Linked DNA regions of Arabidopsis thaliana. The protein of the gene in region 3 interacts with the protein of the main gene of each other region in a pairwise test. Each region holds a gene or a part of one and is shown on either strand. Other genes may lie near its edges. The genes, in order: CRY2, COL1 and SPA1.

Evidence for each region.
Region 1: the proteins of SPA1 (region 3) and CRY2 interact in a two-hybrid assay, tested with the Arabidopsis thaliana proteins (4 studies listed by BioGRID, with this or other methods).
Region 2: the proteins of SPA1 (region 3) and COL1 interact in binary tests that used the Arabidopsis thaliana proteins (3 or more experiments, as listed by UniProt).

What each region holds. Positions count from the first base shown.
Region 1 is NC_003070.9:1,184,709-1,192,994, reverse strand, and holds CRY2 (cryptochrome 2), read left to right. Parts: upstream 1-4,298; 5' UTR 4,299-4,808; intron 4,809-4,921; exon of another isoform or gene 4,922-4,988; 5' UTR 4,989-5,093; coding exon 5,094-5,406; intron 5,407-5,510; coding exon 5,511-5,735; intron 5,736-5,830; coding exon 5,831-6,543; intron 6,544-6,688; coding exon 6,689-7,276; 3' UTR 7,277-7,483; downstream 7,484-8,286. Other genes in the region: AT1G04420 (NAD(P)-linked oxidoreductase superfamily protein), read right to left, coding at 1-70, 160-277, 422-582, 698-781, 961-1,056, 1,137-1,361; c-NAD-MDH1 (Lactate/malate dehydrogenase family protein), read left to right, coding at 1,728-1,770, 2,090-2,248, 2,355-2,530, 2,688-2,965, 3,055-3,190, 3,283-3,394, 3,483-3,577.
Region 2 is NC_003076.8:5,173,382-5,181,667, forward strand, and holds COL1 (CONSTANS-like 1), read right to left. Parts: upstream 4,517-8,286; 5' UTR 4,093-4,516; coding exon 3,376-4,092; exon of another isoform or gene 3,267-3,375; coding exon 2,916-3,266; 3' UTR 2,710-2,915; downstream 1-2,709. Other genes in the region: AT5G15853 (uncharacterized protein), read left to right, coding at 4,726-4,926; PCME (prenylcysteine methylesterase), read right to left, coding at 5,295-5,456, 5,558-5,648, 5,725-5,868, 5,937-6,002, 6,092-6,229, 6,322-6,423, 6,520-6,594, 6,854-6,934 and 3 more. UniProt on the Arabidopsis thaliana protein: Putative transcription factor that may be involved in the light input to the circadian clock but does not affect flowering time.
Region 3 is NC_003071.7:19,023,303-19,031,588, forward strand, and holds the start of SPA1 (SPA (suppressor of phyA-105) protein family), read right to left. Parts: upstream 4,227-8,286; 5' UTR 3,860-4,226; exon of another isoform or gene 3,665-3,859; intron 3,578-3,664; 5' UTR 3,520-3,577; coding exon 2,116-3,519; intron 1,815-2,115; coding exon 1,657-1,814; intron 1,405-1,656; coding exon 594-1,404; intron 392-593; coding exon 245-391; intron 87-244; coding exon 1-86. Other genes in the region: AT2G46360 (uncharacterized protein), read left to right, coding at 5,205-5,498. UniProt on the Arabidopsis thaliana protein: Controls normal photoperiodic flowering and regulates circadian rhythms. Required for suppression of photomorphogenesis in dark-grown seedlings and for normal elongation growth of adult plants.

The DNA.
Region 1 (8,286 bases), on a different chromosome or scaffold from region 3:
CGAGTTTTGCTGTGTTAACAAACTCCGTCACTCCGTATGAAGTTTCATTCGAGACACCGATATAGCGAACCTGTTGCAGAATTCGAGGAACACTTCAAAACTCTGTGTTTGAGGTTATATAACTCAATATAACATCTGATTTTTAAGGAGTAGCACTACCTTTCCTTCAACTATGAGATCCTGAAAGGCTCTTAGTTGCTCAGCGAATGGCACACTAGGTCTCCATTTCGACGTTTCATAGTAAAAATCACCGAAGAGTGGTACGTATCGATCTGGCCTGGACTGAAAAAAAGATCAGTGTCATGATTTTCTGACATTTGATGATGAAAAACGAAATATTTTGCGCATGAAATAGAAAGACACTTGCTCAAACAATGTAGAATATGAGTTAAGACATAAAGCAAAAATAAGGCGATGTTACCAGTGTATTTGAAGCAAGTCAATGTAATCAGTTCCAAGGCGCTTAAGACTTTTCTCAACACTTTCTTTGATATTAGCAGCATCTACACGCAGAATCTCACCACTGTCCCTTATGTAAGCTGACCTTTCTGAGTACCCACATACTTTAGTTGCCAAAACTATCTGTATACAGAAACAATGAACATCAATATCAATTTTTATAACTTCGATTAGGTTTTGCTGATATCATATACATTCGTGACCAATATGCATCCAAAGTATGATAAATGGTTGATACCTTGTCACGTTGCTGAGACTTCAACCAGCTACTGATATAAAGATCCGTTTTACCTTGCGTCTCCTTCTTCATCGGTATGGGATACTGGAAATAAACAATGATACTTGAAAATTTACCACAGACTAAGCAGATTCCAGAAAGCTAAACACAACAGTGCTAAATTCACCAGAATTATATATAAAGTATAAAACATTCACATAAACACTTGCAATCAAATTCACCAGGCAAGAAGAGAAAGATGAACAATGAAGATAAAAACTCACAGCTTCAGCAGTGTCAATGCAATTGATGCCCTCTTCAATTGCATAACTCAGCATCTCATGAGATTCTTTCTCAGTATTTTGCTCCCCAAATGTCATCTGAAATTCCAAATTTCATCAAAACTTCAAAATTGAACAATGGACTACAATTGCAGGAGATAAAGAGAGATTGTTCTTACAGTGCCCATAGTAACTTCGCTGATGTTGAGATCGGAATCTCCTAATTTCCTATACTCCATAGCATTCTTCGTCGACGCTTTCGCCGAAACTCTCAATATTCTCCTCCGAGCATTCGGCGATAGAGTAACACGGCGGCGCGTGAATGCCAAACGAAAGACTCCTCGAATGTTACTGCTGCTGACCACCGGAGTGACCGTTGAGTAGGTGACGTAAGATGACGCCATACCGGAGGTTGTCGTGGACGTGGTTCTTCTCGCCTTATCGCCACCATTATCTACTGTTTTGATTCACGTATTTGAATACTCTGGGCTAAACGATTTGGGCCTAATGTAAGAGGCCCATTAGAGTCAAAAATATATATTGAATAATATCTTGTTTTCCTAATATGATAGGTCTAATCTCAGATTTCGATTTATTTCTTCGAGATAATATGATTATATTAGATGACGTGGCGGTACATCCTTCGATATCTTCGATAAATACGCAAGAGTGAGCTTCACGGTCAGACAAAAGCTGACTCTACGCTCTCTCAAAAGTCGAATATCCCAAATTCGATCCGTTTTCCGGCGATAATCTCCGATCTAGATCCGATGGCGAAAGAACCAGTTCGTGTGCTCGTTACTGGAGCTGCAGGTATAACTTTCATCTATATCCGATTAGATCGTGTAACTTCTAGATCTCTGGCTAGTGAATCGCTTGCTGAATCTAGTCAGATCTCTGCATAGTATCTGGTTGTTCCATAGATCAATGAAATATAGGTCAACTCTTGTTCCGTTGGATTCAACGCTGACCAACGATTGATTGAGTTGGTCGCATATCTAATTTTAGTAAAAGTTATTTCATGGATCGAACTCTGATTTAGAAACCGTTGTTTATATAGTTGGATAGAGTTTAAGTTGTGACTTTAGATCTCCTCAGCTACTGAAAGTAACTATTGATTGTGATTATGCAGGACAAATCGGATATGCTCTTGTACCTATGATTGCAAGGGGTATCATGCTTGGTGCTGACCAACCTGTTATCCTCCACATGTTGGATATTCCTCCAGCTGCTGAAGCTTTGAACGGTGTTAAGATGGAGTTGATCGATGCTGCTTTCCCTCTTCTTAAAGGTAGTTAAGGGTTTTGTTTTGCTGTGGATATTTGCATTCCGTGTCATAAGTTGTTTTGTATAAGTGGGAAAGGAGAAGATGAATATTTGATGTGTATTATTATCAGGTGTTGTTGCTACAACTGATGCCGTTGAGGGATGTACTGGAGTCAATGTTGCTGTTATGGTTGGTGGTTTCCCGAGGAAAGAAGGTATGGAGAGGAAGGATGTGATGTCCAAGAATGTTTCCATCTACAAGTCTCAGGCTGCTGCCTTGGAGAAGCATGCCGCTCCTAACTGCAAGGTGATACGATCTGTTTGCTTTTTAAGTTAAATGAAGCCACTGCATCCAATCTTCTCTGTTCATTGGAGTGTAACAGATGCTTTGTGTTCTCTATTGGGTTCTAGTTTACGACTCTCTTGCTCACACATTCGCTCTCGTTTTGTCTTTTTTTTTTCAGGTTCTTGTTGTGGCCAACCCGGCAAACACCAACGCATTGATCCTCAAGGAATTTGCACCATCAATCCCTGAAAAGAACATCTCTTGTTTGACAAGGCTTGACCACAACAGGGCTTTGGGACAGATCTCTGAGAGGTTGAGCGTGCCAGTGTCTGATGTTAAGAACGTGATCATCTGGGGAAACCACTCATCCTCACAGTACCCAGATGTCAACCATGCTAAAGTGCAGACCTCGTCTGGAGAGAAGCCTGTCCGTGAGCTCGTCAAGGACGATGCATGGTATGTATAACATGCCATAGAACTTAAGACCCTTTCTCTTCTCTGGAAGCAAAATCTAGTTTCACTTAAATATATTGCTCATTCTGTAGGTTGGACGGAGAATTTATCTCTACAGTTCAACAACGTGGAGCTGCAATCATCAAGGCGAGGAAGTTGTCTAGTGCGCTCTCTGCTGCTAGCTCTGCTTGTGACCACATCCGTGACTGGGTCCTTGGAACTCCAGAGGTTCATAATAAAACTCTTCCCCGTTATTTGCAGTGCTGTTTTTTTGTAACAGTTAATCTAATATGAGTTCTTTCTTTGATTCAAATTGTCAGGGTACGTTCGTTTCCATGGGAGTATACTCCGATGGCTCTTACAGCGTTCCATCAGGACTTATCTACTCCTTCCCTGTAACTTGTCGCAATGGAGACTGGAGTATTGTCCAAGGTAAATATGACGCACTTACAAACTCAAATGCTCATCAATTATGAAATCCTAGATTCTGCAGACCCTAATGTGTATTTTGTTTGGTTAGGCCTTCCGATTGATGAAGTATCAAGGAAGAAGATGGATTTGACTGCAGAGGAGCTCAAGGAAGAGAAGGACTTGGCGTACTCATGCCTCTCTTAAACCCTTCTGGAGCAAAATTTTCATCTATAAGGTGTGAGATCAGTTAAAGCCTTTCAGGGCTTTGTCCGAATAAGAAGTGTGTTTGAAAGATCTCCAAACACTGTTTTATAACCTCTTTGGTCTCTTTGATGAGTATTGTCCCTGGTCTGTTTCTAAACCAGGATATCGTTTTTTTCAATGTGTCTGATTTGGTTTACCCATGAAAAGAAGAAAATTGGCAGTTGCATGGTTATCTTTTGCGATTATTTTTTTCTGCTTTAGCAATTAGCCCAAAATTGATGAGCTCTTCGATAATGGGTTTGTGCAATTGTGATTTGTGAGGAATGGTGTTATTGTGTTGCAATTGCAAAAAGAAATGCTACTCTTGCAGATTCATACCAAAACCAAATCACTAGATTAAACTGAAATTCTAATGTGGATTATTTTAATTTTACTTCTATTTTTCTTCACCCAAATATTTTATAACCAAACACCAAGTTGACACCAAAATATACATCCAAAAAACTTAGATTGCTTCTATTTTACGACTATCCGAAATCGAATCATAAACCGTAGGCAATGGTCCATTAATAAGGGGTATACGAGGATTCAAAGTTTGAGAGAACTTTTTTATCTTTACCTTTTTCCTTTTGTAAAGTAAAAGCAGTGGATTTTGATTATAGATTCTACTTGGTAATGACTAATGAGAATCAAGTTCTCACCTTTAAGCCATATAGACTTTAGATATTTAATGGATTCTACAAAAGTGGGCATGACCAGAATCGAGTTCATGAACCACCGTCCTCGGCCCCAACGTTAAAAAACTTTTTTCTCTAGCATAAGAAGATAAGAGTATCTTCACTGCGCTTTAGGCCCACTCAACATTCAAACAAAATTCGATCTCTTATAAAAAAATATCTCACAAGAGAAAGTTCGTACATGATCCCGATAAAATCGTAGATGAGCAAATCAAAGATGAGATGTCGGTAAAAAAAACGCTATTATAAGAACACACGCCACTAGTTGTGGATAAAGTTGTCTACTTTTGTCTCGTTGTGATTATTATATTGCACAATTATTAACATTCATACTCTCATATGGGTATTGTTTTTGGTCTCCGTTAGATCTCAAATCTTTAACTTTGCATACCCAAAATAGGAAGAAAGAAGAGTCAAGTCACTAAAATAACTTTCACAGTCTTTGATTCGAAGATCTTTGTCGCCGAGAGATATCCACTCTGATTTGAGTTCTGGTAAAAAGTTTCCAGCTTTTGATTTTTGTTTCTCTCAATTGAATTTCTCTTGCTTGCTCTGTTTAAAAGGATTAGGATTAAATCGAATCTCTCTCTGTTATGTTTTTTTGTAGATTATTTTGGATTTTAGGACTCAAAGATTACAGATTTCTTATCAATCATTCTCTGTTATTGTTATAGAACTATTCTCTGGAGGAGGTTGAGGTCTGAAATCATGGAACAACTTGGTTAGAGTGTGGAATTTTAGCTGATTTGATCTTTGATTCATCTGTGATCATAATAACTATGAAGATGGACAAAAAGACTATAGTTTGGTTTAGAAGAGACCTAAGGATTGAGGATAATCCTGCATTAGCAGCAGCTGCTCACGAAGGATCTGTTTTTCCTGTCTTCATTTGGTGTCCTGAAGAAGAAGGACAGTTTTATCCTGGAAGAGCTTCAAGATGGTGGATGAAACAATCACTTGCTCACTTATCTCAATCCTTGAAGGCTCTTGGATCTGACCTCACTTTAATCAAAACCCACAACACGATTTCAGCGATCTTGGATTGTATCCGCGTTACCGGTGCTACAAAAGTCGTCTTTAACCACCTCTATGGTATATACTCTTTCATCTCTTATTCAAAGGATATATATTCTTATTAAGTTAGTGTAGTCTAAGTGCAACTGAGGTTGATGCGATCACGTTTTTCTTTGTTGTAGATCCTGTTTCGTTAGTTCGGGACCATACCGTAAAGGAGAAGCTGGTGGAACGTGGGATCTCTGTGCAAAGCTACAATGGAGATCTATTGTATGAACCGTGGGAGATATACTGCGAAAAGGGCAAACCTTTTACGAGTTTCAATTCTTACTGGAAGAAATGCTTAGATATGTCGATTGAATCCGTTATGCTTCCTCCTCCTTGGCGGTTGATGCCAATAACTGCAGGTAAAACCTTAAAGAGTATTACTTAAAAGCTAAAACGTTTTTGATTTCTTCAGGACATAAGCGGTAGTAAAAGTTTATGGCTTTTTCTTTGTTAGCGGCTGAAGCGATTTGGGCGTGTTCGATTGAAGAACTAGGGCTGGAGAATGAGGCCGAGAAACCGAGCAATGCGTTGTTAACTAGAGCTTGGTCTCCAGGATGGAGCAATGCTGATAAGTTACTAAATGAGTTCATCGAGAAGCAGTTGATAGATTATGCAAAGAACAGCAAGAAAGTTGTTGGGAATTCTACTTCACTACTTTCTCCGTATCTCCATTTCGGGGAAATAAGCGTCAGACACGTTTTCCAGTGTGCCCGGATGAAACAAATTATATGGGCAAGAGATAAGAACAGTGAAGGAGAAGAAAGTGCAGATCTTTTTCTTAGGGGAATCGGTTTAAGAGAGTATTCTCGGTATATATGTTTCAACTTCCCGTTTACTCACGAGCAATCGTTGTTGAGTCATCTTCGGTTTTTCCCTTGGGATGCTGATGTTGATAAGTTCAAGGCCTGGAGACAAGGCAGGACCGGTTATCCGTTGGTGGATGCCGGAATGAGAGAGCTTTGGGCTACCGGATGGATGCATAACAGAATAAGAGTGATTGTTTCAAGCTTTGCTGTGAAGTTTCTTCTCCTTCCATGGAAATGGGGAATGAAGTATTTCTGGGATACACTTTTGGATGCTGATTTGGAATGTGACATCCTTGGCTGGCAGTATATCTCTGGGAGTATCCCCGATGGCCACGAGCTTGATCGCTTGGACAATCCCGCGGTAAACTACAAAACTTGTCTTATAGTTTAGAATTCAAAGCTTAATACCAGTTTTTGCTATGCATTCGTTTTTTATTTTATTTTTCAGCTTATTTGGTTTGGTTGATTTAGTTCTGAAGTCTATGAAAACTCTGTTTTTATTTCAGTTACAAGGCGCCAAATATGACCCAGAAGGTGAGTACATAAGGCAATGGCTTCCCGAGCTTGCGAGATTGCCAACTGAATGGATCCATCATCCATGGGACGCTCCTTTAACCGTACTCAAAGCTTCTGGTGTGGAACTCGGAACAAACTATGCGAAACCCATTGTAGACATCGACACAGCTCGTGAGCTACTAGCTAAAGCTATTTCAAGAACCCGTGAAGCACAGATCATGATCGGAGCAGCACCTGATGAGATTGTAGCAGATAGCTTCGAGGCCTTAGGGGCTAATACCATTAAAGAACCTGGTCTTTGCCCATCTGTGTCTTCTAATGACCAACAAGTACCTTCGGCTGTTCGTTACAACGGGTCAAAGAGAGTGAAACCTGAGGAAGAAGAAGAGAGAGACATGAAGAAATCTAGGGGATTCGATGAAAGGGAGTTGTTTTCGACTGCTGAATCTTCTTCTTCTTCGAGTGTGTTTTTCGTTTCGCAGTCTTGCTCGTTGGCATCAGAAGGGAAGAATCTGGAAGGTATTCAAGATTCATCTGATCAGATTACTACAAGTTTGGGAAAAAATGGTTGCAAATGATCAAAATAATGTGCTGTTATAAAGCCTAACATGTAGATGTGTGAATGTGTCTTTTAACTCTTTGTTTCCTTTTGGTTATACTCAAAAGGATATGATTGCATAAACATATAATGCTGATATTATTTCAATTGGCTATGAATAAAATATACATATTTGTTTAGTCTTTGAATTTGTTTCATCTGAGTTGTTTAGTTTGAGGAAAAAGATAACGGCCAATTTATATTTCTTTATAAAGAAAAGAAAGGAAATCTCGATACACGACGTTTTTATATGAAACAAATGCAGTTGGAAATAAAAGTAACAAATCATTGGTCTAAAAACCCCAATGAAAAATAGTAACTAAATGACTGAATACTACGGTAAGATTTTTTTAATTTCTATAAAAATATAAGATTTTTTTTGATGATTAAAATATTTTTTTATAATCAATTACAAATAATTATCATATCTTGAAAACAACAAGAATTTTTTTGATATAATAAAAATATTAAATTAAATTACAAAAATAAACGATACTAGAATTATATTTCATTGAAATTTCTTATATATATATATAGCTGATATTTTAATACAATTATTAATTTATGATATTGATGGGACTATATGTTTACATAGGATTTTCAAAAAAAAAATATTTTATTAATTTATCGATTTGTATCGCTTTTTACACTAGTCCCAAATACTGAAAGAATTTATTATTTTATAAAAATGATTAATTTATCGAATATTAATTTATAAAGGTTTTACTGTACTTGCATGGCACAACAACGAGAAAAAGTCCACGCGATAAAGCTTCAATGTCAGGAATCATCAGGCGTCGAAATGTTTGACAATGGCATCGGTTTCGTCCAGAGAGGAGTCGACGGGGCCTGGATGAGGGTCGACGTAATCGGAATTGTCGTGGAAAAGAGAGTAGAAGCAAGATCCGATTCGGATAACGTCTTCTTTACTATCAGTTTTGGTTCGTAACCATTATTTTTAATCATCAACCCCTCGAGTCACATCGGTGA
Region 2 (8,286 bases), on a different chromosome or scaffold from region 3:
TGTTTAATCTGGTTCATAAAGTCATGGTAATGAGAATCATATCGGAAAAGTGACATGAAAAACATAGAGACGGTGGATTTTCTAGGATCAAACTCGAATCCGCCAAGTAGTCTTGAGACTACAAATTAGAATTTACCTGACGCACAAGTTAAAACTTAAAAGGCATTTTGGAGTCCACATGAGCAATAATTAGATTTATCATATATAGTATGTAGAAATTTGCACTTGGTAACCATTATAGTAAGTAGTTACAAAACATGACTCATGAGTGTTGTCACATCTCTGTAATTTGGGTTTATGATGATACTCTATACTATTTATTGTAGCTTTATTAGATCTCAACCTGTGGAAGTAATCTAATACAAACGACACTTGTATGGAATTTTCAGGACATGTTTCTAAGATCACAGAGGTAATTGTGAAGTTTTCTGCTACACTCATTTACTAGTCCACATGATCCATAGATGCAATTTAACCATCTTCACTCTATTTGGTGACCCATTCATGTGTTTAGCATCGTGGGTTTTCCTGTACTAATAACCATTAGTACTTGGAGTTGCCTTGTTGGTGTTATGCTCATAATGTTTACTATGTGGAAGCTACAGGATACGATACTCTCTAGGTTTGAGGACTAGCTCCAGTTACGCTTTTGGGTCCAGTGAATGTATGATACCCATTATGTGGTCCAAAAAGAATGAGATTTGACGGACGCTCTAGTGGCCAAATTCATATGGCTACCTTCACTCTATGCCTTAAGAGCTGAAAAGTGAGTGTTTTTTTTTTGTATAAAATGCTGGTCCTAGGATACACTTTTCGCATCTCTTCCTCTTTCATATTTGCTTACACCGCACTTCTCTTTCCCATTTTGAACTTTAAACTTTGAAAAGTTTTTTTTTGCTTGGTAATTGGAACTTAACATACAAGTTCTTGTTATTTACTGGTTTTACGATGAATGTAATGGCATTTAGAATTGTTATGAAATGGTTATATGATCATTGAATTCTAAAGAAAAGATTCTAGGTTCTTTAGTAAGCATTTTTGGAGATCTTTATCCTGCCAAGTTGGATAAGTTGAGGCATCTTTGGCTTTTAGTGCTTTGGTGATGAAATTTTTTGGAGATTGTAACGTGGTTCGAGTTCATGAAGAGTAAATTGTGTATTGGCCTTTTCACTTGTAGCTCAAGAAAAAAGTAGTTTTGCTTATTATTGCTCGTTGACAGTCTCTAATTAAGTTTATTGTTGTAGCGGTTTGGAACTTCTCTCACATGTGTAGGCCTTCGGATAACTGTTACGAGTAATAGATCATATGTAACAATATCCTCAAAGTTGCATCGAGATTTTCAAGAAAACACTATTGCTTATTTGTTTTCATTCTTTATCAGGTTTCCGTGGTTTCGAATACTTTGCTTCTTTCAGATTAACGAAAACCCTATTTAGTTGCAAAGACTGAGAAGAGAATAAGAGTCGAGGGACCATATAAAGCTTGTAATTGTACGTTTATGCGGATTCTCCACTTTCCATGGCTGTGAGAAACTATCTGAGGAAAAGTGCAGTGACCTTTGGCAAAAGGTAATCACTTTTATGCACTTTCACGTGCTAGCTCGAATCCACACCAAATAGTAACATTCTATTGGCTCTGAAACTCATAGTGCTCCAAGTGGTTGTCATTGCATTTTAAAAATTCCTGACAAGAAATTTAGTAGAAACTTTGCTACTTCAAGTTTCCTTCTTTATGATATGCTAGCTCGTATTATATGCAACATGGGATATCTTTGTTTTGCTTGTGTGGCTTATAAGTTTATGTTGCATGATCAAAACAGATCACTGAATAAATTTTCTGGTGGTCTGAGAACTCGCTGCAGTGAATGAATGAGATCCATGTAAGTGGCCCCAAAAGAACATAATTTACAACACTCTGGTAGGTAAATTCATGTGGATACTAAAACTGACTCATTTATGGCTAAAAAGTATTGATTTGGTACATGAATTCATCAGCTTAACCGTTGAAGTGGGAAGCTATCCTAGTGGTAAATAAGTTGATCTCTGGCCCTTTCCAGGTGGCAAAAAGTGAAGGCTTTACAGTGTCACCCTTTTTCTTTTGGTTGCGTCGTTATTCTTTAGTGCCAGTATATACCTTGGAAAAAGTGAGCTATTATTCTAAAAGATAGACCAAGAAATAGATTTCTCACACTGAATATCTTTGTTCATTTGGATGGTCCATAGGCATTGACATATTCTGCTAGTAGTGGTTGTGAGTGATAGAATCTTGTTATCCGAGACAACCTCGTGGGAATGGATTTAGCACCAATGCTAATCACTAATCAGTACAAGAATATGCGTTGATGTAATTGTACCTATTAGCATTGTTCACTCAGGATTCTTGGTTATTTGTTACCTGACTATTCAGTGTGTGATTTTATTGGAGTTTTACATGTTTACACTTGTCTCTGTAATCTACTTTTGGTATAAAATCATATTGAGTACAACTTTCTTTTCTCAGGGATGTGCGAAATTGTCTTTGGGGCGGCATAAGTGGAATCATTTATCTTCTACGTGATAAAGTGATGTGGAAAGTGTCACCAAGAAAGGAATCATTAACTTTGAACTTAGGCAAGGTGAGTTACGTGTTGACTGTTCTTGGTACAGCTAGCTATACTAATGCATATCTCTTTGTAGCATCAGTTTGAATTTAGACTGTAGGGCAGTATTTCATAGATAAGAGGACTTCTACCAAGTGGGCAAAATTTGTATTAACTTACAGCAGCTAAGTATGAGTGTATATCTAATTAACTCGTACTAGTTAGGCAAAACTAGTAAACTACAGACCCTATATGCATAAAACCGTGGTAATAACTTGCAGGAATTTCAAACCAGAAGTAATTTACAAGCATGCAGTCTAGTTTTGCCATAGCAGCATCAGAATGATGGAACAATTCCATATCCGGTGTCAAATGTTATCATTGTGGAGAAAGCTTGGTTTGCCTCTTCATCGACATCTTTCTTCTTTGCAAACCGGCCCTTGATCCGTGGTCTTTTCTCTGCATACGCTTTCCTTGAAGCATATCTTATCGTCTTCTCAAATTTCCTCATCTTCTTCTTCTCTCTGTATCTCAGGACTCTAGCTTCTCTGTCCCTTGGACTGAGCATCTGAGCTGGAGGGTAAGGTGGTTGGTCTGTTACCGCTTTGGGCGATCTTGGGTTTGATACTGTTGCGTCACTCGTTGTTGACTCCGGCACAACTCCCAGGTCCATAGATGAAACATTCACCTAATGACAGTAACAAAGACATTCTTAGAAATTTACTTCATGGATTTGTGTGAAAGAAGCAGCATGCTGGTCATAGTAACGGATCTGAATTAAATATATGAAAGCTTACCATATGACTGAGGGAACCATTGGAGCTTCGAAGAGCTCCCCAGGAGCCACAGTTGATACTCAGCTGAAAGTTCTGTTGCTCTTGGTACATGCCCTTTGATACTTCAATTTGAAGTGGAACAACTCCATCTTCCCCATAGCTCCTCTGAGGTACGTTGCAGTCTAGTTGATACTGATTGGATTGATCTGTGAATTGCTTATCACTCGAACTATAATCAACAAGGTTCAGAAACTCATCCCCAATCGAGAAGCCATTGTTGTTACCACTGTTTTTCCCTGAATTAGGCAACAACCATGAAGCCGCCTCTGCTTCATCTTCATCCTCTTCTTCTTGACCAAGCACAAGTCTGTTCTCTGGATCTGTCACTGTTGTCTCACATGAATGGTTAGTGGCCGTGGAACTGTAAGAGTACTCAGAAATGGGCAGAATTGGAACTCGTTGATGGCGTCTAGCAAGTGGGTTTGCGGAATGAATCTCTGAATCACAGGTTGTGCATAGAGATGCAGCATCTGCCTTGCAGAAAAAGGCAGCCGGGGCTCGCTCACATGATTGACAGACTCGAACACGTTCATGGCGGGAAGCAAGACGATTGGCAGCATGAACTTGAGCATCACAACTGGAGCACAAGTAGGCAGAATCAGCCCGGCAGTACACGGTGCAGGCGGCTGATCGGCATGTATCACAGGCTTGTGCCCAGTTACTCTCTACTTTCAACATACTAACCGCAGATGTTGTAGTTGTTTGATGGTGAGTGAGATCGTATGTAAAGGCAGCAGGGGACTAAGAAGGCTATATTAGTTGTTGAATGGAAATGGAAAGGAAGGATAGAATTCTGAGGGCTGGACACGTGGCGAGAAGTTTGTGGGTTTGATGTTGAGTGATCATCTTGTGGCTGGCTGAGTTTTTGAGAAGGGGTCCAGTGCAGAGATGCTTACAGCTTTGGAATCATCAACCAGCACGAAATGTGAAAGAAAGAAAAAAACTAATTGTCTTCTTATATCTTTGCAATGGCACCAATAGTTACTACTTTTTCTCTCTTTCTTCCTCAATAAGTGTAAACACCTCTTCCTATGTAATCTTCTATAGGACCCATCCACATGTTACCTAGGTTCTGAAACGTGCAACTTCTAACTATTTTTGTATCATCTACTACTATTTTGGTAAAGCTGGAAACTTTAGTAGCTCTTTGGCTTGACCATTAGCCTAATGTTTATCTTGATTCTTAACTTTTGCCATGTTCTAACTGTTCAGGTTTCTCTCATCGTCTCATGATTTCAATTATAAAAATTAAATGATCACTGTTTAGCATTGTTAAAAAGATTATGACTCTTAACCATTTGTTATCTTCGAATGATGCTAGGTGTCTTTTTTGGTGATATGTTGGAGATAATAGATATGGCATGTCCTAACTTTGTTTCCTTCCACATCAAGTCGGTCAAGCTGATTTGGCCAACGGTGGAGATCCAAGGAGCCAATTGGAATCTGCCAAGTCGCTACGAGTCTCTAGAGATTAGGAGCCACAAGTTGAAGCAAATGGTGGGTCCAAATTAAGGTGAATAACGATAGTTATATCAACATCACCTGTGGTCTGTTTATACAAGTCCAATTTGCTTATGATCACCATCATATTTCATAGTTACAAAACATGTATAAGTCTATCAAGTGTTTGTCACATCTCAATCACCTTTTTGAGAATATGATAAAACTCGATATTATCTTTACTAGCTTTTATTAGATTTCAAACTTGTGGAAGTAATCATATTCATGTGTTCAAATCTACATGGGTCAAATAAATTTGGTGGAGCAACAAAGTTTGTTTTTATTTACATGATGTTCTACTGATGCAATTAAAAACACAGCAACTAACAAAGGTAAAAACTGAGGATCAACAAACAAAGCTTGTTTTCCTTTCTTGGCAGTCAGAAAGGGCTAATCTCACGAGCCAGTTTCAGTAACAACTCTGGTACAAGACGCTTTCTGGGAGGAGCCAACGAGTCTTTGGTCAGCCCATCATTGTCCTCCGCATGTATCACAGAGACTATGTCATCAAAGAGTTCGTCTTTACCTCCTCGTAAGGGATCCTATAAACAATACTCTCATGAGTTTTATTGTACTCACACTGAGCTAAGTGTTTGTGTGTGTGACACAATGTAAGGTAAGTTGACTGATTTATGTGGCTTACCTGAAGAAATAAGTCAGTATGTGTCTTTCCGCTGTATAAAACAAGCTCGGCTTTTGCTCCAACAGCTTGCAGAGCGTCTGTAAAAGTTTTGCTGCAAACGAGGTGGTTTTAGTATCCCAAAAGGTTTCATCAGTAATGTATCACTTCAAGAAGATGATCATATATACCTTTCATCGCATGGTATGGAATAATCTGAGGATCCGTGGAAAAGTATAATAGGAGGTAAAAGAGAAGCAGCTTTTCCAACAACTGGGTCTTTCAGTCTTACTTCCGGAGAGAATTTCTCAAAGGACTCTTCTCCTTCCATTATGCTGCAAGTTGGAGTTGAACATTAGATCTGATCAGACTGCGTTTAGGATTTGGTTAACCAAGCATTTACCTTAGGAAAATCGAGCGATACAGACCCCGATTATGGAAGTGATCAACCAACTTGTATAGATTGTACCTATTGAAGTTCAAAATGATAAGCAGATCAATTGCTGTAGACCAAAAAGCACATAGAAGCCAACGGGAATCCAAAAGCTTAGAAGATACCCTCCAGATAATCCAAAATAAGCTTTTATCTGGGACACTGTCCAGGAGATGCTCTCTCCTTTTAATTCTTTAGTAGCTTGTTCCAATAGAGCACAAGCGGCTATATGGGCACCAGCTGATTGCCCCATCAGGTAGATCCTAGAGAGACAAGCAGATACATGCAGTTTAATAGCCGAGAGACCAATTGGAAGATCAAATGGTAAATAAAAACAAAGCCAATGAGATGAAACCTGTTGGGGTCACCTCCAAATGCAGAGATGTTATTGCAGACAAATGAGATTCCTTGAGAAGCATCAGTCACCATATCACTAATTGTTCCCTGAGGAAAGTTCCTATACCATAAAGAACGGATTGCTTGGTAAATGCATGAAAGTTCTTCCTATATTCATAAAAGACGACTAGTTTTTTGAATTGTGTAATTTGTTTACCTGTAGTCAAGGCATGCTACAATGATATCTCTTTCTGCTAGCTGCATTCCCAAGAGCGAGCCCCAAGCTTTGTACCTAAATATCAGTACAAGATTAGCAAACATGAACTTATTAACAAGCAACCAGCTAGTACAAGAAGATGAAACTTGAGTGAGTCAGTGAGATAAGAATACAGAGCCCATCATGATCTTTACTTTTTTCTTTTTGTAACTCAAACATCAACAAAAGAACAGTGAAGGGGAAAACTTCTATAAGTGGGACACGAGAAATTGTAAAACAAACAAATTTCAACATTATGCAGAAGAGAATGCTGTAAATCTGATGTGCAACCCACCCAATAATCCAAGCTCCACCCGTCACAAAAACCACAACCGGCTTCAAGCCATCGTTGTTGCTTGGCAAGTACAGATCCAGCCTATCAAATCACCGTTCATACATCAATAATCTCAAGACAAAGGTGATGTGATAAAAGCAGGCATTCAACATACCACTTAAGGCCGATGTGAAAGGAGAAGGTAAGATTCTATTCAGTTCACACACAAACCTGTTCCTTGGTTGATCTCCATACACTATACTCCTCCGGACTTGCTTTGAGAAAAAATAACTATATGCAACTGCACAAGATAATACAAACTTGAGACGAGGAATCAAAGACTAATTTTCCAATTAAAACAACATCTTAATCAAAAGGAAAAATCCTTTCTATGAATTTATTTATCAGCAAAGAAAAAAAAAAAAAAATCAAACCTTGAAGAAAGCCAGGCATAAGAAGCATAGCATAACATGTAAGGGCAAGTAATTTTGTCATCCATCGATAGCCTACCCTGAACAAAACTTAACAATTAGATCAATCCTTGCTCAACTGGAAATATAAAAAGAAGAAGTTAAACAAGAGCAAAACAACAGCACATGGAGTAACTTTCATAATTAGAGTAAAGTTCCAAAATAAAAGACAGAGAACTTTTATATATCATTGGATTCTTTGCAGAGCAAGGCAAAGCCAGCTAATATCTACACGAATTACCTCCCTAAGCGTAATCATCAATATACCTAAATCCAAAAACAGGGACAATCGAGATCAGTACCCGAGGTATCGAAGAAGCTTGAAGCTAAGTCCAGTAATTAGATACGTTTCAGCTGCCGCGTGGCCGATATCGCGACCGAACGATTGCTGCCGGAAAATCCGACGAGGTCCTTCGTCAACCGGCGACTTCCCGGAAACTCGACGACGTAACGGTTCACCGTTAAGAAGAGTCGTTCTATCGGAGTCCTCATCGGGTAGAACTTCCTCGATCTCCGATACCGTCGAGGTCATCGGCCAGCATCGCTGCTCCGGCTGCTGAGTCTGAAGAGGCGAATGCATCTTTTCCGCCGTGAAATAGTGGATCTCGAATTCCAAGATTCTTCGTGTTGCTCTTCTCTTTTGAATTTCAAACTCTTTTTGTTATCTTCGCTTTTGTGCGCTTTCCATTTCCTTCTACACGAGGAATGTAGTAAAGTAGTGTGTAGATATAACCAAAAGTTTGTACAAGACGACGACGTTCTTAGCTCTTATTGATGACGTTTGATCATGTAATGATGTGTGATTAAAGAGAATCAAATGTCAGACAGTAATGAAATTATTCGCAAAATATTGATTATTCTAAAATGTTTGTTAGTCATTTCATTTGTGATTGGATGGAGTAGTGTGACGACTTTGGAAGCTAGTATTAGCAAATCATGGGCTTTACCACGTTCGGAAAATGCTAAAACTCGTGGGCCCAAAGT
Region 3 (8,286 bases):
CCAAATGCCAATAAGTGATTGGAATAAGAAGAGAATTGCACGCAACACACATTTGCTGGACTCCAGATTGTGCCTAATGAACGTTTCTGCATACCAAACAGAGAAGAATATAAGTTTCACTAGATTTGGAAATTCACAAGTATAAACAGAGAATCATGCCTTATGGAGCTATAATCTGGAGTAATAAAAACAACGGGGACATGAAAATTCTTGCAATATCAGGAGGTAAAGGAAAGAGAAGTGCCTCATTGATGCTCCAAAGCTTCACCGAGCAGTCATCACTTCCACTAACAAATTTTGTCGGGTCAGATGGAGAAAAATCAACTGACCAGGCTCTCTTCTGGTGTTCTGTGTACTGCGAAAATCCTTGTCCAGTGCCGGCATCCCATATCTACATTCATTAGCACCATACAGTAAGAAAATGGCAAGTGAAAACCATGAAATAGACGCTTCTATATCTCTATCTTATCACAAGATTAACATGTACACATCTCATAGAGGAAGAGAAAGCACATGAGGCTAGTCCTATAGATCCTACCGTGCAACATATGATGGTAAATAAGAAAGATTCCAAACTTGACATCGATAGGTACCTGAACTACACCATCGTAGTCAGTCGAGGCCAAGTAGTTTTTGATGTAGCTATTCCAGCAAACACAGCTTAATTTAGATTTGTTGACCATCTCTACTAGTGGATAATGAACACCGACAGATTCATTCATAAATGCATTGAAGTCAAAAATCTTGATCTTCTTTGATATCCCAGCTGCTGCTATGTGTTCTTCATCAGGGTCAAAACTCAACGAGCAGACCACACTTGCAGAGTTTAAAAGGTCCCCACTTCTTATTGTCCCACAGGTTTCGAACTTGCTATACCGAGCAAATTTGCACAACCCCTCGAAAAACACTTCGAGTTGATCTGAAGATTTTCCTTTGGTACTCATATCCTGATTTTCATTTTGGTTTTCAGAGCATCTGTCCCTGTCCTTTAGTGTTTTGTCAGAACGGGCAGTAGCAGCAGAACTCGATAAGTTGATTTGTGATCGCATGAAAAAATATGCATCTTCAAGTTGACGGATATTACTCATCAGCCTGTCTGTATTAGCAGTTGGTACAAACAAGGCACTGGAAGTTGTACAGTGCTCGTCTAGGGGAGATGATTGCACCCTTTTTTCAATAGCTCCATGAGATCTCACCAGAGATACATTTGAAGAATATCTTCGCTCGGCCTCCTTAATATCATCCTCTAAGGTCTGGATATCTTGCAAAAGTTTAGATGCTTTTTTCTTCTTCTGCACTTCTAATGAAGACAAAAAATGAAGTAACAGCTCAGATATCTCCTCAGCAGCAGCAGTCGATTTAACTGAATCATCCTCGCATATCAACTCTGACTTTAGTATATCTCTGTCACATAAAGAGAAAAGAATGAGAACAGAAAAAGAAACAAGAAGATAATTCACACAGTAGCATGCCATTTTTTTTCTTCACAATTAAGCGGGAAAACATTAAATAAAATTGAAGATATCCGGCAAAGAAATCTTAAATACGACTATTTAAGCTAATGGAAGGTCTACAGATTCTCCTTTGTACCACTCCTAGACTCCTAGTAAATACTCGCCCACATGAATCATAAAAGAGTAGCACTCAGCTAAATACCTAGCTGATGGTCGGGAGGAGGGTTCAGGATGTAGAAGCCAAAGACAAAATCCAGCTTCCTTCGGGTATTTCGAGAGAAATGTTGGTGGGAGAATCCGATGGCGTAAATCTGCCATCATTGCAGCATGCATCTCGCCTGACTCGCAATGGCATAGCAACTGAAACAACAATTGGTCAAGCTAGATGTCAGTAGGCGTCTTCACATGAAAGTATCAAACAAGTAAACAAAAATACTGACAAGTTATATACTGCAGACTGGAAAATACTAGCTCTGGGATTCAAAGTTCAGACTAGAGTAAGAAATTTCATGAAAATGAAAGAATATAAACTACCCAAAGCCCACATAAGCAGGATATGACAGTACATAGTGTTCAAATGCAAGGAAATGTTACATCCTTCTTGGTATTAAAGCAAACTAAAAATCTATCCACAACAATAAAACTGGGTATTCGTCCATACCTCAAACAGAAGAACACCAAGGGCATAAATATTTGATTTTTCTCCAATATCTTCTCCATTTATCTCCTCTGGACAAGTATACCATTGCTCTTCTAGCCATGTGGACATAGACTGTTTTCTCGACACTGAAGACACGCTTAAATTTTTTATGTAGTCTTGCTGTTGAAGCTCGCAACTGTCTGGATTACGTGCATCAACCATGTTTAAATCAATCACAGGGCTTTTCCTTTTGAAAGGTCGCCCGGTTGAAGTGGCCTGAAGTTGATTCCCTGGAGAATTCAAATGCAAGTCCATTTTTCTTTTCTTCGAATCCCTACCTCCACTAGATGATTCCTCAACAACAGGCCTCCTCCTATTCAAATCTTCGTCAACATCTGATTCTAGATCGTTCTTTCCAAAATTACCAATATATCTAAGTTTCTTTGATGGAACTAAAGTGAAAAGGGATGGTCTCAAGTCTAGCAAGAATAATCTTTTTGAATGGGCTGAGTCAACCAGTTCCACCAGCTGCCTAAATAGACAAAGGCCATGTCTTTTTTCTCTTTTAGCATAACTTGATCTAAGAAACTCCCTCAAACTGATTCCAATAGAAGATTTACTATGATTCCCATCACCATGTGATACCATACCATTTCCTTTGGGACTTGATTTTAGAGGTAACACATCGTGAGGAGTAGGCGACTTGCTAATATCCAACTTTTTTTCCTTGCTTCCTAAATCTTGATCAGAGACAAATTCAGGAGGAGTTTCCTGGTTCTTTCCTACTACCCCTTTCCCTTTCATAGCTCTTTTAAGTAACAACTGAGAAAAATTCGAAGAACTCACCGGCGTTTTCATTTGGACACCTTCACTGATCAATGCAGGAGCATTCATAATACTATTCTCACCAGCTGCTCTTAGACGTTCAGAAAAAGCTTCAAGATTCTGATCGCTCCTCCTAGACATAAAAGGTTTCAAGTTTTGCCTCTCAGAAGGAGCTCCAGCAAGCTGTTGTCTGATTCTGGACAACATTTGATCCATATCACGAGGTTGAGAATCAAGATCCCCATCTCCTGCCCTAAAAGCAGACCCTCTAGCCAAACGATAAAGATGCTCAAACTTGCCAGCCCTAGGACTATCCACATTAGTATTATTACTCCCTTGAACAATCCTGTAGTTCCCCAATGTCAACTCTTCAACAGAAAGCTTAGCTCCTGCGGCTTCCTCAGGAGGCGGCGGCTTAGTCAAATCAACATTCCTGTGAGCTGAGCTTCCAGGACAATCACTGTTTGCAGTTTCTGATTGAATCACCATATCGTTATGACGAGCATCAAGCTTATTACAAGGAACATCATCCACTCGTGCTTTCAATTGTATGTTGTTAGTCGCCACAGTTTCTTCAGCTACTCTTTCCATAACAGGCATCAACACTCATTGCATCAGCACCACACGTAATAATAATAATAATCTACAGCCTCCATACCTTAAATCATATACAATACAAAAACAAATCAGAATCAAACCAACAAAATGAAGAAGAAGAAGAAGAAGAAGAAGAAAGAAGCCCTACCTAGTAAATTCATGCATGTAGAGATTCTAAAACTAGTTAAACATACAATAATCACTAATCCCGAAACGTATCATTAGCTGTAATCTAAAGTAGCTAATCAAAACAGAAGAAGATTATGTAAAATCGCAGCAAACTATTAAAACCAATCATGAAGATTACGAGAAACGAGAAATACACAAAAATCAAATCGCTTACCCCGAAGATCCCAGATATCGAGAGAGATCACAATCAGATCATACACCGAAGCGGTGTGGAGAAGAAACCTCTTGAAGAAAGCAAATTCAAAAACACACAGAAGAAGAAGAAGAAGAAGAAGAAAGGTGAGGCTATAAATTTGTCATATACTATTGATAATTACATATAATATCTCTTTTGTATTCTGTGTATAGTCGAAGAAACACAAATGAATCTCTCTTTCTCTATAGACTTTTGCACAATTCGTTCTTCATTCCTTATTTTCTGATTTTTTATTTTAATGATTAATTTAGGCTTTGAAGCCACATATCAAATTTTCTTTATTCTGGCGGACAATTTTTTGAACATTATTTTATTTAATTTTTTCATTACTTTATAGCAAAAAGAGAGAAAGATTTTTTATTTTGGCTGCCCAATTATTATACTTGTTTTGTTTAAGTAAGAGGTCAAAAGGATTATGACACGAGATTACGTTCATAATCTTTTGATTAGTGACATCAGCTTTAGAGATGGTCCTGTTTTTTGGTCTTATTTACGGATTATGCCACTCAGGTTTTTCCTCTCTGGTTAAACGATATGTGTGAGTATAGGGGTAGGATGGTAAATAAAGAGGAAAAGCGTGGGTATTAAGAGTGTTGCATGGGGGAAGTAATCTTTAGGGATATTTGTTAAGAGGAGGAGATTAAAACACGTCGACGTCGCTTAATCTATTCGCCATTCGAGGGGGGTCACGTGAAAGATGTGGAGATTATTAAGCCACGCTTTTTTTGCGAATAAACTAATATACCCTCACCTATAACAACACTTTTTGGGCTCAGCCCATTTTGGAAACCCATTTGGGAAACTTTGTACAACAAACACAATTTAAACTAATATACTCCACCTATCAGTTATTGGGCTCAGCCCATTTTAATACTTTTATGGGCTGCTTCGCTTATAACTTGGACACAACTTTTGTTTTCCATAAACCCATTAGTTAAGCATTTATTTTAGGATGTCAAAAAAACAATGAAAAGGCATTCATTTTAGCCATTGGCCAATTTTATCAATGGTTAAATGTTTGGTTGTTCTCAAAACGAAACATTTGAGATAAGAAAAATAAAAATAAAAATTGGTCGATCTTGTGACTAATGAATTTAGGAATCTTATTTCTCTACCATCGAGTCTTTAAGATGGAAAATATACCAATACCACTCAAAAAATTGCAAATTGATTTAATTAGTTACTATGAATGACCACAAGAAAAAAAAAAGAAGAAGATAAAAATTTTGTCCAAAAGACGGGCTAATTTAGGGACTAATAGCTCCCAATAATTGTATCATTTTTGGGTCTTCTTTTTGGGTTTATGGATTCGTCTCGCGAAGCCAATCGTAAACATGATGCGGAGGAGAAAAGAGAAGACGAGAAAACTTCTCTGATGGAGGTAAATCTCATGGTGGTGCTTCTCTCTCAGCTTTCTACGAAGAAGGAAGATGAGAATGGTTTGGAGAAAGAGAGAAGAGACCATGTTGCACACGAGGCTCGTGAATCTAGAGCACGTGCAAACAAGAGGTTTATGAAGGATACAAAGTTGATGGAGAAAAGGACTCACGTGCTTCAGCCCATGGCTAAAGAATTCAGGCATTACAGGAAAATGTGAAGGCGCATGACTGACTTGTGATTGCCCCCAGAACCTGAGTTCAATTATATTTATTGGATTCAAATTTTTTTGTTATTGATCACTATATATAAAGATGAACAGATCTTTTCATTATTAATTAACTGTAAAAGATGAAAATGAAGAGATTTTTTGGCGTAATTAAATGTAAGCAAGTATTCGCTTTGTAACGAAGATGTATCCAATCTTGTATCAACTATAGAAGAGATGCAAATTCAATGTTTCAACCTAACCAGCAACATGTTGTATTATTTTCTCTGCTCTAATTCGGATTTGTGATGCTTAGTTAAATTTGTGTGGTATATCAGATAGAAACGTTTCATTCATCAATCTTATCGTGTTATGATCATTGTTCTTAAACAATGAACCAAAAGCAGCATTGACACGACCCTAGCTCCTCCACCACAATAACATGAAAATCCTCCTCTCTCTATTTCGGATTCGTAAATCATAGGGAGATTCCTTTTAGACGAACCACAACCTAAAATAATAATATTTAACATGATTAACAGCTACTTACCTTTACCTAATCTATCCCTTAATCTAACATTATTTTAATAACTAGTTGACATCCACAACCTAATCCATATATAATCCCTTTAGCTTTGTTTTGTTTTTGTATTCTCTCAACATGTGAACTTGGAAATAAAACCCAAACTGATAATCAGCATAATCTATAAAATTAAATTTCGAATAAAAATTTGATTTGGTCGGTCCTATATTCCATAATATACCCTGAATTGTAAATTCATAATACTACAATGATATATCATATTTATATACAACACGTTTAAATGTAATGGTAGAGTTTTTGGACGAAGTGTTATTATGAAAAATTTAATTTGTTGAGATCAGAGTGTTATATCTTTAAAAATTTCGGCTAGCCGTCGAAGGGAAAAGATGTTCACACGAGGGCTCCGGTCTTCGTTGAGAAGATGTGACTTGAAAACAAACAAAAGAGTGATAAAAAGGAATGATATAAAAAGTGGCCGGAAACGGAATTGGGTAGTAAATGAGGGGTCGTTTTCGCAAAACCCAATTTTGGTCACTATGCAATAAGAGGTTTGGGTTTGTCACTAATGAATTATGACACGCTCTCCATTATTATGACAATTTCATTAATTTTCATCCATTTGATTATTATCTTATGTTTTAGTTTTTCTTTGTTATTATATTTTGGATAAATGTACATTGTGACTGATTTGTATATTACAAACAATAAAACCGCCAAAACAATAATAAAATTAAAATATGTCTTTCATAAGATGATACCAAAATAATTTTTAAAATATAGAGATGACATATGTATAACTTTTTTTTACAACCTAAACTAGTAAAACATGATACTGAATAGTAAAATAATACATATATGTTAAAGGGCAATATTCTTTATTATTTAACAGATAATTTTAATACAACGAAGAGTTACGCAATAATTATGAAATTAACCACTAGAATATGGTCGACTGTTAAAAATGTCAAATGTGATTAAGGTTCAATCATTTGATACGTGCGTGAATCTTCATTAGCTATTATTTCGGCTATATAATATTCATTAAACTTTTCCTTCTAAGTTCTAACCCTCTTTACCTTTTCATTCAATTATTTGATTGGTTTATTGAATGCAAATAGCAAGTTAGCAACCATTATTCTAGTGAAGACAACCCTTTTTGTAACGATTTGACGTGGTCAACGAAATGGGTAAAACGTCATAAAAGCAAAGCCATGGATTATAGAGGTACTTATAATAAATTATTACACTAATTAGTAATTACCTTCAGATTTAAAATTCGTTTTGTAATATTTCAACAAGACTACGCTAGAAAATGATCGCTCATATGGTTATTGTATTTTCATTTTTCCCACGTATATAATCTGAAAATTATAAATAAATATAAATAACATTATGAACGTTAAAAAATTCTCATTACATGAAGTTACAAGCAAACTTTAAATCATAGATTGACCTAGAAATTTAGACAAAAAAAAAAGATTGACCTAGACTATTTGTTGATGATTGGAATTATATATATAGTAATGAGGAAGAAAATATCTGATAAGTATTTACATAAATATTTGTCAATGCATTATGCAGGTCTGATTTTGGATGTTGCATGACACATCAATGTCATTAATTAACACAAGCAATTAGATTACATGTTTGGTCCACAAACAAGTATATATATATATATATATATATACATAAATAGTTTTATAAAGAATTTTAAAATGTTTGTTGGCGTAAATTGACTGATCATTTGGTAGGAAATGATTATTATAGGTGTCACACTCAATATTAAAAAGTAGTAAGTTATACATATTTTGCTGAAATGTTTGATACCTAATGTGTAATTCCATTGGCTAATTGTGATTTGTGAAGCTAAACAACATAGAAAGAAGACGTCTAAGAATCGTGACAACACAACATAACATCAATGGGACCACTATGGTAAAACATATTCGATGAACTAATGAACAAATGTATAGAGCCATCAACATGTATGATTAATTAAACTAAATAACTATGCTTATTGCAGAAATTGTGTGTCGTTTACTTTTTCGTCTTATCATAATCACTTGTATCAAGTTGTACGTTAGCCCCTATGGAACGTGAGGACGCTTACGTATTCATAATACTAAAAAGATAAACAGTGTCTAGTTCTTTTGTAGCCATTTTTTTGGGTACTTAAACACTATAAATTCTTTAAATAATATATCACTGTTTTCTTTTGATAAACGAAATAAGAAACCAATGTTGTACATAAGTTCT